Oryzias latipes: one gene and its partners. The main gene of each other region encodes a partner of the protein of the gene in region 2 in a complex. Links are inferred from orthologs where the notes say so. Each region holds a gene or a part of one and is shown on either strand. Other genes may lie near its edges.

Region 1 (3,500 bases), on a different chromosome or scaffold from region 2:
CTGGCATTTGTAGATTGTTGGGATATTTGGCCTGTATGTTTTGTTGTTTTTCTTCCCACACTAGATAAATACAGTTCCTCACCAAGGTCTGTGCTTTGTAACAGGGAGAGTTACCATATTTCCAATCTTTTAAAAAAAATGTCTGCTTGAGTTGTTCTCCTAAAATGTGAACAAAGATGACTGCTTATAATCCAAGCAATCCTATTTTTTGTTGTAAAACAAAAGCAGTTTTGAGTTAATAAAAACATTTCTAGTCAATTCCGGCACTTGTGTTCGCTCCTTTTTGCTATTTAGGTTTTGTGTAAGAATCTGCAGAGAAAAAAAAGGGGGGAATGCTTTTTTTATGTGTGTGAAAGTACTAATCTATACCACCTACACCATCTCTGAGAGCTTCCATTCCTCCAGCTTTCCTAATGTTCCTTCCTCTAATATCTGCTCGGCTCTGAAGCGCTCTGCGTGTAGTGTGGCCACACATTACAGAGGAGTGGGAGCTGGGTCTCACACACAGAGAAGTGCAAACAGAAAGAGAGCCAAGGACATTCTTTTACAATAACAGCCAAAGAGGCCTATCTGAAAAAAAAAATATGTCTCAATTTTTATCCTTGAAAAGTCTGTTAGCTTGTGCGTCTTTAAAGAGCCAATATGAAAAATTCTGTTCAAGAGGAGCTCAATGTTAGTATTTTTTTCCTGAACTTGAGGCATAGCTGCTGCAAGGATGACAGAGCACCATAACCAATGAGTCACTTGACAACTTTGACAAGTGTCCTCTTCTAAAAAGAACCTGTGCAGTCCCTTATGTCAAACCTCACTTAAAAGCTGATGCATTTTACTGCTAAGGAGCAAGAGAAATTGGAACTAGAAGAAAAAAAGGGCTGAAAGACTTATAAAGTACTTGGGGCTTTGATTATGCTAATAGCAAACAGAAAATATTTACAACTTTTATAGCAGAACTTGGAAATATTCAGCAGTGGCTCATTAACTCATACATGTTAATGGACAACAACAGAACTATGATTATATTTACCAATAAAAATAAAATAGCTAAAATGTCATCCATCTGGTGGGTTCCTAGGAGAAGTGGAGCTTGACTGTGTGGAGGAGTTCAAGGATCTCATATCACTGGACATATAGGTCTCCTTAAAAAAACATGTTCAAAGCACCAGCAAACTAAAGTCGGATTTTTAAAACTTTAGATTCATTTTCACATAAAGACTTTTGTATTACGATTTTTGCCCTATACTACAGACAATTAAAAGACGAAAAATGCTTGTTACAGTGCTCTTTGTGTATGCATTTTACCAAAAACTAACAAAAGGCCTGGTGCAGGATGGTAAGAAGTATTGTCAAACAACAACTTTTGAATAAAAAACTGTTGCTGAGGAGATTTCAAGTTTAGAGCAGCGAGTTATTAATTTCCCATAAATAAATAAATCCTGAAAGCTAAATGGAAAAAAAAATGTCATGTTGCTCTTTAACTCACATTACAAATGGTTAGGGAGTCGTTTTGACTTTTAAGTTTTTTTTTGGCTGATTAATAAAATAGCTAATGTTAAAACATTGTTTCTGCTTAACAATAATCAGTTTTGTTTACTGTAGAGTATTCAACTTCCCTGAAACGAACATTGACACAACAGTAACAGGACTTGTAATTGTTAGGAGTACAATAACGACTTATGGGGCAACGCTTACCATCGTCAGTGGGGTTAAAACCACAGATGTCACAGATGTGGCGAACCCACTTGTTCATTTCTTCCTCAGTGTCAGCCACCAGGTAAAAGACACGGTCGATGGTCTTAATGTCGAAAATGAAGCTGTGCTCCAAATCCTTCTTGCTAAACGTCAGCCCAGCATCAACCTAGGGTGAGACGTCAACAGAGTTTGTCTTACAACATAGTGGTTCAGTATCAAGGTGACTGAGTTTGATCTGTGTTAATAACAAAAAATACAGTTTGGTGAACAAGTCTTGGTTTTTTTGCCTGTTCGTTTAAGAGACTTAATTGTTTTTATGCTTTCAGTGGCCTTGCCCTGAACTCTGAGCTCTTACAGGCACACACCTCTCTCCCAGTCCCTTGGGTCAGCTAATCAGCTGCTCCTGGACATAGCAAAGGGCAACACTTACACTTCCTCCTTAAGCCTAATTCAGAAAGAAAAAAAAACAGAACTGCCCCCAGACTGTTTTTTAACACGTGCTAAAATAATGATTTTATCATTTTCATTTACTGTTTCAAAATTGTTTTTAAATTGTATGCAAGTGGTTTTACTTGAGTTTTTTAATTTTTTTGGGGGTTGTTTACTTTACCATGATGTTTTGTAGAGCTTCCCAAGTAACCATGAACCATTTTAACTACCATCACTTGTCAGAGATTCTCACTGGTTTTTGTGCATTTTAGGCATTGTGATATAACATCTTCCAGAAACTTTCTGACTCAGACTCTATTCTTGTTTTTCTAGGAGTCCTTTTCATTATGTTCAGGTACTAAGTCACTGCTAAGAAATGGTATTTAAAAAAAGTGGAGTGAGAAAACATGATTAGAATTAAAAACTACCCAGTGGTTAATACATTTTGCTGTTTGTTTTTACTATTTTCTTTTTACTTGAAATATTTTAGAATGATGAACTTAGTTCTGGATGATGCAACTATTGATTTTTTTTAAAATAAATGTTTAATTATTTCGTGTGTGCCAATTCTTTTGGTCCTCAATATTACATGAAAAGGTAACTGAATGAATAGAACATATAAATAATAATCATACTGTAAACAACTTTATAATGGCTAAAAGTAAAGATTTCCCTACATTTCTTGGAAGTTTTCCTTCTGTTTTCCCCCCCTCATTCTTCATCCATAAAACATTTAGCCACACAATTAAACTTTGAATAAATTAGGCTTTACTGTTGCAATTTTAGTTTTTTGAGTCATTTCTAAGTCATAGTGATTATATTGTGTATTATTTAGCTTAGTTAATTGATACTATATCTCTGGTTAAGTCCGAATCAACCCTTCACCCCACCCCCAGTTATACAAACAGCCTTACCTACCAAGTTATACTGAAGTTCCCAAGAAGTGTTCATTTTCACAAATATAATGGCTTACATAAATGTAAAAAAATGTGGAATGAACTATAAAGCTAGACTAGCAGGCTTTAAACAAACCCTCATTTAAGAAAGAAAAGAAAAAGAACGTAGCAAGTATCTCCACTGCATCTACAGCAAAACTGTCACAACACAAATCGAGTGTTTCCCATGGAACAAGGAGTAATACCTGCTCACACAAGTTGAGATCTATTACACGAATAGGCTTCTTGGTGTGGTCATTCTTGTAATACTCCAAGACGTCTGGGTCGCCTGTTAGACGGCCACTGCGAAGAACAAACCATCGCTTCTTCCATGCCTGCAGGGTAAGCACAAAAATGAGGCCAAAGGTTATACGCATGTTCTCACACTGACTGTTTCATTCCCAGATGACCACAAGCTGACCAAAAGCTTTATTTATGTCATTTTCA
Region 2 (3,500 bases):
TTAGAGAATAAAACCTGCTCCCGACCAGGTTAGGTTCACAGCATAAGTAACCATGGATACTGACTCCGAGTAAAAGTTACCTCTCTTTCAGAAACGGGTTTGACTTACTCTGCTTTCTCTGGTTTAACAAACCTCCCATTCTGAAACGGAAAACCCAGGGTTTCCCTGATTTCAGGGTTAACGCACTCAGAGTTTACACTTAACCTCCTTTCTGAAACAGGCCCCTGGAGTCAGACATTTGTTTGGATTCAGTCAAACAAACTCAGATTATCTAAAACCCTTCAATGATTAGAAAGAAGTTTAATACAAAAAGGAGTTTTTAGAATGAAAAAAGCATATTTACGGTACAGACCAAAAGTTTGGACACACTGAATGAGAAGCTGTGAATGTACTGTATATGCTCAGTTTTATATAGATATTATACTTATATATATTGATATATTCCACAAAGGAATTCAAAGGGGAAGAAAGGAAAACGGTCAGATCACATTGGTCAAAAAAAGCTGAAAGCCTCCAAAAGATTTTGCTAAAAAGAAGCGATAAATGTATGGAAGACTTGTCGGCGGCCCTCACCTTTCCTCGTTCCACCTCTTTGGTTGTCATGACGATGACCCGCGAGTTCTCCTGAAACACCATCCTCCAGAAGTCACTGATGGTGTTCTGCAGGCAGCCCTGAGTGGCGATGTAGCTCTTCTTCAGCTTGTGGCTGTTGCACTTGGCGTCCAGCTCCGGCTGCAAACCGGCAGAACCAGAAGCTGCACAAACCCGAGCGCAAACGGACCCGCAGAGCCGGACGGCGAGAGGGAGGCTCACCATGATGATGTTGGCGTTGATGTAGTCCGAGCCGGGCTCGTTGGGGTCCCCGTCGTTCAGCACCACCCGCGTGTGGTCGACTGCAAACACAAACGGCAGATGAGAAGAGGGCGGGGTCGAGCGGCCTGGAGTGGCGGCGGCGCCGGGGGCTCTCACAGGGCAGGATGTTCTTGTAGCGGTTCTTGTTCTTGTTCTCCGCCCTCTGTCCCTCTTTGCGGCTGTACAGCAGTTTACACTCCTGCTGCTGCAACGTCTGCATGCAGAGAAAAGAGGAAACTCCAGGTTCAGATCTGCTTCTGGACACAGCTTTAGCGGCGTTTGGCAGAAAACGCCGACACAAACGTGAAGCTGCACGTTCATGTAAACACAAATTCTATTATTCTATTTTATTCATCATAGCCGCTTTTTCAACAACTGTAGTTTATTGAGGACGTTATTCCAAATATCTGTACACGTCTATACACTCAAAAAAATTGGATGAACTCAATTTAATTGTGGGCAGGATTTCCATCCAATAAATATGAGTCGCACCAAATCAAAAAAATTCCTCCATGTAATGAAATATAATCGAGTTAGTCGAACTCAATTTTATCAAGAAGACAAAGCAAAAAACATGGTGTGACACTATTCTGGAAGGTAGAACCTCCACATGCAGACAGACTGATCCACTGAGCCGACTCTCCTGTGGCCTCAGGCATCCAACACTATAAAGACAGAATCATTTTCTACATAAATGAGGTTTGTCGTCTTTGATCTTACTGGGAGAAACCCAGTTGAATCCATTCCAAGCCACAGTACCTTTTTTACGTGGAAAAACACGAACAAAAGTTCAAAGGATTTGAAGGACCAAAAGTCATGGCAGGCATTAGACGAAAGAGCTGAACGTTTTAATAGTTGAATGGTTAAAATAGGTGAAAAATTGTAGCCGTAAAACGGCGGAAGATACTATAAGAAGAATAAATAAAGAGAAAGAGGAAAACAGCATCCAACCAATTAAAGAATAGAATCACAGAAGAAATGATTTTGCAGAAGGTGCAGTCTGCACATGTGCACAGCATGCCCCCTAATTATGAATTTATTTATTCAATACTGGAGTTTATAGGTGAAACTATTAATACATTTTATGTTAGGTCAATTAAATATAGATACATATTTTTAAAATAAATATATTTAAATAAAACAAACGGCATTTACTTGTGTTGTTACATGAAAGAGGGTTTGAATCCCTTTTTTGAGTGTAGTTTTTTCCCAAATACTTTGTTTTTTTTAAAAGTAAATTCAGAAAATGATGAAGTGACATTTCTGCACAGCAATCACTCCTCATGGTTATTGATCTGTTAGAATAACACAAAGACTGCTGCCCCTAAAGCCAAAACTACACTTCTTCTTCTTCAGGTGATTGAAGCTGAACTTCTGGAAAAAAACACAGGAAACCGGCTCCATCTGCTTTCAAAATAAAAGTCTTCTGACATGATGAGGACTTCCCCTCTGGCTCCCCAGACTGCTGACATTGCAGGGACGTTTGGAGCTGTAGGGGTGTCTGAAAGTGTTTCTTTGAGGAGGAGCCGCAGTGACCCACGGCTGGGTATTCCTCTGCCGGTGGGGGGGGTCCGCGTCTCGCTGGCACGCCAGGAAAAAGGCTTTTCTTTAGGCGGGTGTGCTCTGAAGCACAGAGGTTCATGACTAAATGTAAGTATTGGCTTCCATGACAACGTTTTAAAGTTATAAACCACTGTATTATGGCAGCTACACGCCAGCGGGGGAGACCGGCGACCGTTGATGATGTCATGGAGTGGTAGTCATGTCCGGATTTTCCATAACCGTCTTGGAGGGATAAATGTCGGGGTAGGGGATGAATTCAGATTCAGCCTAAACGTTGGAGGAATGTCTTTTGAGTTCCAGTACAAACACTCATCAAGCACATCAGAAAGATCCTTCATGATTCTGACCGTTAAACGTGCTGCTGCCGCCGCTGAGGTTACGGTGGGATTTCAGAGTAAAAGCACGCTCCCTGTGCCTTCAGAGTAAAAGCAGGTTGCTCCTCTTTCTCAGACCACTCACCTCAAACTCCTCCCAGAAGCCCTGCTTCACCTTGTCCGTGGCCTCGGCCAGCTTGCTGAGCTCACGGACGCGGCTTTCGATCTCCGCTGCGTTGATGCGCGTCGTGTTGAGCGGCTGCAGACCACAGCAGAAAACATTTAGTGCAAAGGTCGCTCCTGAAGGTCAAGACGGCGCCACATTAGAACATGAAGACATTACGGAACAGACAGGAAGAGATTATAGACATGTTTCATGCAAACGGTGAACAGAAACTTGGTGTTTACAGACTTTTATATATTTATTTGAAAGATAATTGGCTGGTTTCTTCAGACGAGTGTCAACGACAGGAAAGAATCCTCTGATCCATGTCGACACACGGTGTTAACATGCAAACCAAATGTCCCGCCACAGGGAAGGTGTGCAGGAATGCCTTCTTTCCATCCATTTAAATGTAAATACATCTACTTTCTAAAGTTTATAGGTTTTTTTTGTTGAATTTGAATGTTTTTCTTTAAACAAACGGAGGCAGGAAAAGGACAAACACTCTGCATTAACGCAGACATAAACCCAAGCTTCTCTCACGTGGAACCAATCCAGCTGTTTATTCTATTGTTTCCACGGAAACCCCTCGGGGGGGGCGGCGTGAG
Region 3 (3,500 bases), on a different chromosome or scaffold from region 2:
TCGAGGAAAGAGGAAGAATAACTCAATTTACTTTTTTTCCAATGCAGTGCGTCCATCGTGACCTGGCTGCCAGGAACGTGTTGATCTGTGAAGGCAAGCTGGTGAAGATTTGCGACTTTGGCCTGGCCAGAGACATAATGCATGATTCCAATTACATCTCCAAAGGAAGCGTAAGTCGTAATGTAATGTGTGCTACTCTGCCAAAATGAAATGGTTCTCCAGCAAAACAGCATTTTAACAAATAAGATATAAATGGTTATTACACAACAGTCAGAAAGAAGCAAAGTGGAATCTTTTAACCCTCCTGACTGTGAAAAAATGAGGTTCTTTATCATCTAAGCTGCAGTGTATTTCTCTTTCTTTTAGACCTTCCTGCCCCTGAAGTGGATGGCACCAGAAAGCATTTTTCATAATTTGTACACCACCCTGAGTGATGTGTGGTCATACGGCATACTCCTTTGGGAAATTTTCACTCTGGGTGAGTCCGACCACACGTTCATAAAGCGCACACTATTTGTACCCTCAAACAAAGTTTTCATGCATGCAGGGGATTTACACATAGCTTTTAAATAAACTTCCCATTTGATCAATTTTTAAGTGTTGAACTCAAATAATAACAAAAAACAGTGCTCCAAATGTTCCAAGTCCATGTCTGACCAAGAACATACCAGTTAGTTTAAAGACCCAAAATCCTGTTAGCTACAGTCAAGCTTTTACATTTCTCTTGCTCTAGGAAATGTATTTTTTTTCTTTTAATCCACAATAGATCTAAGGAAGCTACCATGAAACAAAGGAGACAGTTTAGTGCATTTCAACCATTAACTCCAGTCATAAAAAAACAAACTTACAATCCAGCCTCTGTAAGTGACAAAGAGTCTCTGTTTGCTTGTTGGAAGTCAGCTTTCATTTGGACTTTTATCATATTTTTCCTATAGATTTACATGTGTATAAAATGTCTTGTTGCATGTGTCCAAATGTTCACCTTTAATAACTAATTATTTTAAATTTTGAATACATTTTTTTTTATATAATGAAAATCCAAGTACTTTTAAAACATACTGGGAAAAGTGGTCATTTCTTTAAACTACACATTTGGGATTGATTATATTTGACAGAAGTCAGACTTTGTAGTTTCAAAAAAGGGTTCCTAAGTTCTGGCATAGCTTAAAACCATTCTTGTTCTTCCTTAGGAGGAACCCCCTACCCAGATTTGCCCATGAACGAACTGTTCTACAACGCACTGAAAAGAGGATACCGCATGGCCAAACCTCCCCATGCTTCAGATGAAGTGTGAGTTTTTGTCAGTTGTTAAACGTAGAACTTTTTATGCCTACAAATTATACCAAAAAAAATTACGTTTGTGACGCAGGTATGAAATCATGAAGAAGTGCTGGGATGAAAAGTTTGAGAAGAGGCCTGAGTTCTCCTTGTTGGTTCACAACGTGGGAAACATGCTGACAGACAGCTATAAGAAGGTATTGAATCCATGCTAATCCACTTAACATCAGTTATTGCTCTAATATTCACTTCTGAATCTCTAACTCTGTTGCTTTACTTTGCTTCTCGTTAAAATGCTTTAAACATAAAAAAGTGCTCAGTTAAAGACCCACTTGTGGCATTTTTCTGATAATGGATTACATGCTGTATATAAAGTAAATTAAGCTTAAAATTGCATTTCTGAGTATTTATGTATTCCACTTGTTGTGAATCAGTGTGTTGTGAATTAAAAGCAGACGCAAAATGCCACTGAAAAAGCTTGTAAGAGGGGCACACAAATAACTTTGGCAAGACTTAAGCTCCCTGCTCTGCTCCTTTCTGATGCATCCAGTCGTAGACAACTAGATCCATGTACATGTTTGTTTTCAGCTGGAATATGGCTTAAATGTACAGCGACTTAACTCTGATTTTGCTCGCCATTTTTTTCCCCGCTGGTAATGTTAGATTGGGGTTGTGAGGGGCTGTTAGCTAGCAGGAGAGAGTATAAAAAGATAGATGATGGGTAGAAGGTAGGCCTTATCCATGCCAAAATTTAGAACCTTTTTTTAAAGCAGTGAGGAGAAAACTGCTTTTGTCAGTTTGAGTGCTTTTTTTGTAACAGTCTGGAGAGTTCCTGATGTACCTGGAGATGTTATAGAAATACAACAAATAAAGTTTTTGTGTCAGTGCACATCTGCTGCAAATGCCTTCCAGAGCTGATATCCCCAAAATGAATGCTGCATTTGAGGTTCTTAATTACTGTTGCGACCCATTTGGCAAAGCTGGAACGAAGACATTTGAGGAGCTGCTTTTATGAGATCAGTGCCTAAAGCTCCTTCCATGTTCACCGCTTTCATCAGGCTGATGGAAACTTAACATGATGCTGTCATTTTAAAATCTCCGCATCTTCATCCTATCAGATCTAAAAATATACAGAATTGTTCTTGTTTTGACCCAATTATATACTTTTTTTAGAATTTAATAATCCACTTCTGCAATCCAATTCTGGGACAGCCTCTTGTTTGTTGGTCCACTCATTTATTTAAAATACAATATCCAAACTATAAGTAGACTATTACTTAACTACTATTAGTTAAGTAATTACTAGTAGTAAACTGCTATAAGTAAAAATAGAGTAAACTTTAGAAGGACTCAGCAGCTTTTGCCACATTATTCTGCTTAGCAAGCATTTCTTCCAAAAACAGAGATACAGCCAAGTGAACGAGAACTTCCTGAAGAGTGACCACCCGGCAGTGGCCCGCACCAAACCCCGCCGGACCTCGCCCTTTCCCGTCGCTGACCCCACATTTGGCTCCCTGTCTCCTGTTGCCTTCTCCTCCTCTCCCGGTCCCACAGCCAACAACCAGAGCCAGAGGCCTGGAGAGCGCAGGCACGAAGCAGACGGGCAGGAAGTCGTAACTTCATATAATGAGTACATCATTCCCATCCCGGACCCCAAACCAGAGGAAGCTTTCGGCAGCATGCCGTCAGAAAGCCCTGAAAGGTACCGGACCGCTGCAAACACTCTGCAGATGTGTGTCAAAAACATGGGGCTGCAGGGGCGATGAAAATGTGTTTGCTTTTGTCTGCCACACACCCACTCATCCAGATGTTGAACTGACACAGTAGTTTATTATAAAAGCTTCATAGAGATGTATTTTTATAACTTAAATAAACACAGGACCAGGCAGGGACTTAAATCTACAAAAACTGCTTTTTTTTAAACACAGTAGACCAAACTTCATTTTTGTGTTTGTTTTGTTCACTAAGCCTTTCTAACCCCAAACCTTGCTTCCTTGTTTGAGGTCGGGTGGGATTTGAAGCCAAAACTCATGTTTTGAGCTCAATTGGTTCGTTTTCTGATGAATGGCCACTGTGACGCCTCAGAACTGCACTTTAGTAAATCACTACAATAAGACCTCCCACATTGATCATAATAATTCTAAATTTGCATCAACAATTTTACACAAAAGTCATTGAGAAAACATGTTTATGTAACAAAATGTTCTTTGAAAATGGTTTAA

What was found.
Region 1: the proteins of ptpn11 (region 2) and gab1 are in contact, whole or in part, in a crystal structure (PDB 4QSY), measured with the Homo sapiens proteins. The link is inferred for Oryzias latipes from reciprocal best matches to the Homo sapiens genes PTPN11 and GAB1. Residues at the interface, in NP_002825.3 of Homo sapiens: Gly13, Val14, Glu17, Arg32, Pro33, Ser34, Lys35, Ser36, Thr42, Arg47, Thr52, His53, Ile54, Lys55, Leu65, Gly67, Gly68, Tyr81, Gln87, Leu88, Lys89, Glu90, Lys91, Ile96; in NP_002030.2 of Homo sapiens: Lys623, Val625, Glu626, Tyr627, Leu628, Asp629, Leu630, Asp631, Leu632, Asp633.
Region 3: the proteins of ptpn11 (region 2) and pdgfrb are in contact, whole or in part, in a crystal structure (PDB 1AYA), measured with the Mus musculus proteins. The link is inferred for Oryzias latipes from reciprocal best matches to the Homo sapiens genes PTPN11 and PDGFRB. Residues at the interface, in NP_001103462.1 of Mus musculus: Gly13, Val14, Glu17, Arg32, Pro33, Ser34, Lys35, Ser36, Thr42, Thr52, His53, Ile54, Lys55, Leu65, Gly68, Gln87, Leu88, Lys89, Glu90, Lys91, Gly93, Ile96; in NP_032835.2 of Mus musculus: Ser1005, Val1006, Leu1007, Tyr1008, Thr1009, Ala1010, Val1011, Gln1012, Pro1013.

What each region holds. Positions count from the first base shown.
Region 1 is NC_019859.2:18,118,041-18,121,540, forward strand, and holds part of gab1 (GRB2-associated-binding protein 1), read right to left. Parts: intron 3,389-3,500; coding exon 3,260-3,388; intron 1,856-3,259; coding exon 1,690-1,855; intron 1-1,689. UniProt on the Homo sapiens protein: Adapter protein that plays a role in intracellular signaling cascades triggered by activated receptor-type kinases. Plays a role in FGFR1 signaling. Probably involved in signaling by the epidermal growth factor receptor (EGFR) and the insulin receptor (INSR).
Region 2 is NC_019870.2:1,412,429-1,415,928, forward strand, and holds part of ptpn11 (tyrosine-protein phosphatase non-receptor type 11), read right to left. Parts: intron 2,989-3,500; coding exon 2,875-2,988; intron 1,067-2,874; coding exon 970-1,066; intron 894-969; coding exon 814-893; intron 733-813; coding exon 574-732; intron 1-573. UniProt on the Homo sapiens protein: Acts downstream of various receptor and cytoplasmic protein tyrosine kinases to participate in the signal transduction from the cell surface to the nucleus. Positively regulates MAPK signal transduction pathway. Dephosphorylates GAB1, ARHGAP35 and EGFR.
Region 3 is NC_019868.2:16,278,139-16,281,638, forward strand, and holds part of pdgfrb (platelet-derived growth factor receptor beta), read left to right. Parts: intron 1-47; coding exon 48-170; intron 171-366; coding exon 367-478; intron 479-1,190; coding exon 1,191-1,290; intron 1,291-1,369; coding exon 1,370-1,475; intron 1,476-2,681; coding exon 2,682-2,980; intron 2,981-3,500. UniProt on the Homo sapiens protein: Tyrosine-protein kinase that acts as a cell-surface receptor for homodimeric PDGFB and PDGFD and for heterodimers formed by PDGFA and PDGFB, and plays an essential role in the regulation of embryonic development, cell proliferation, survival, differentiation, chemotaxis and migration.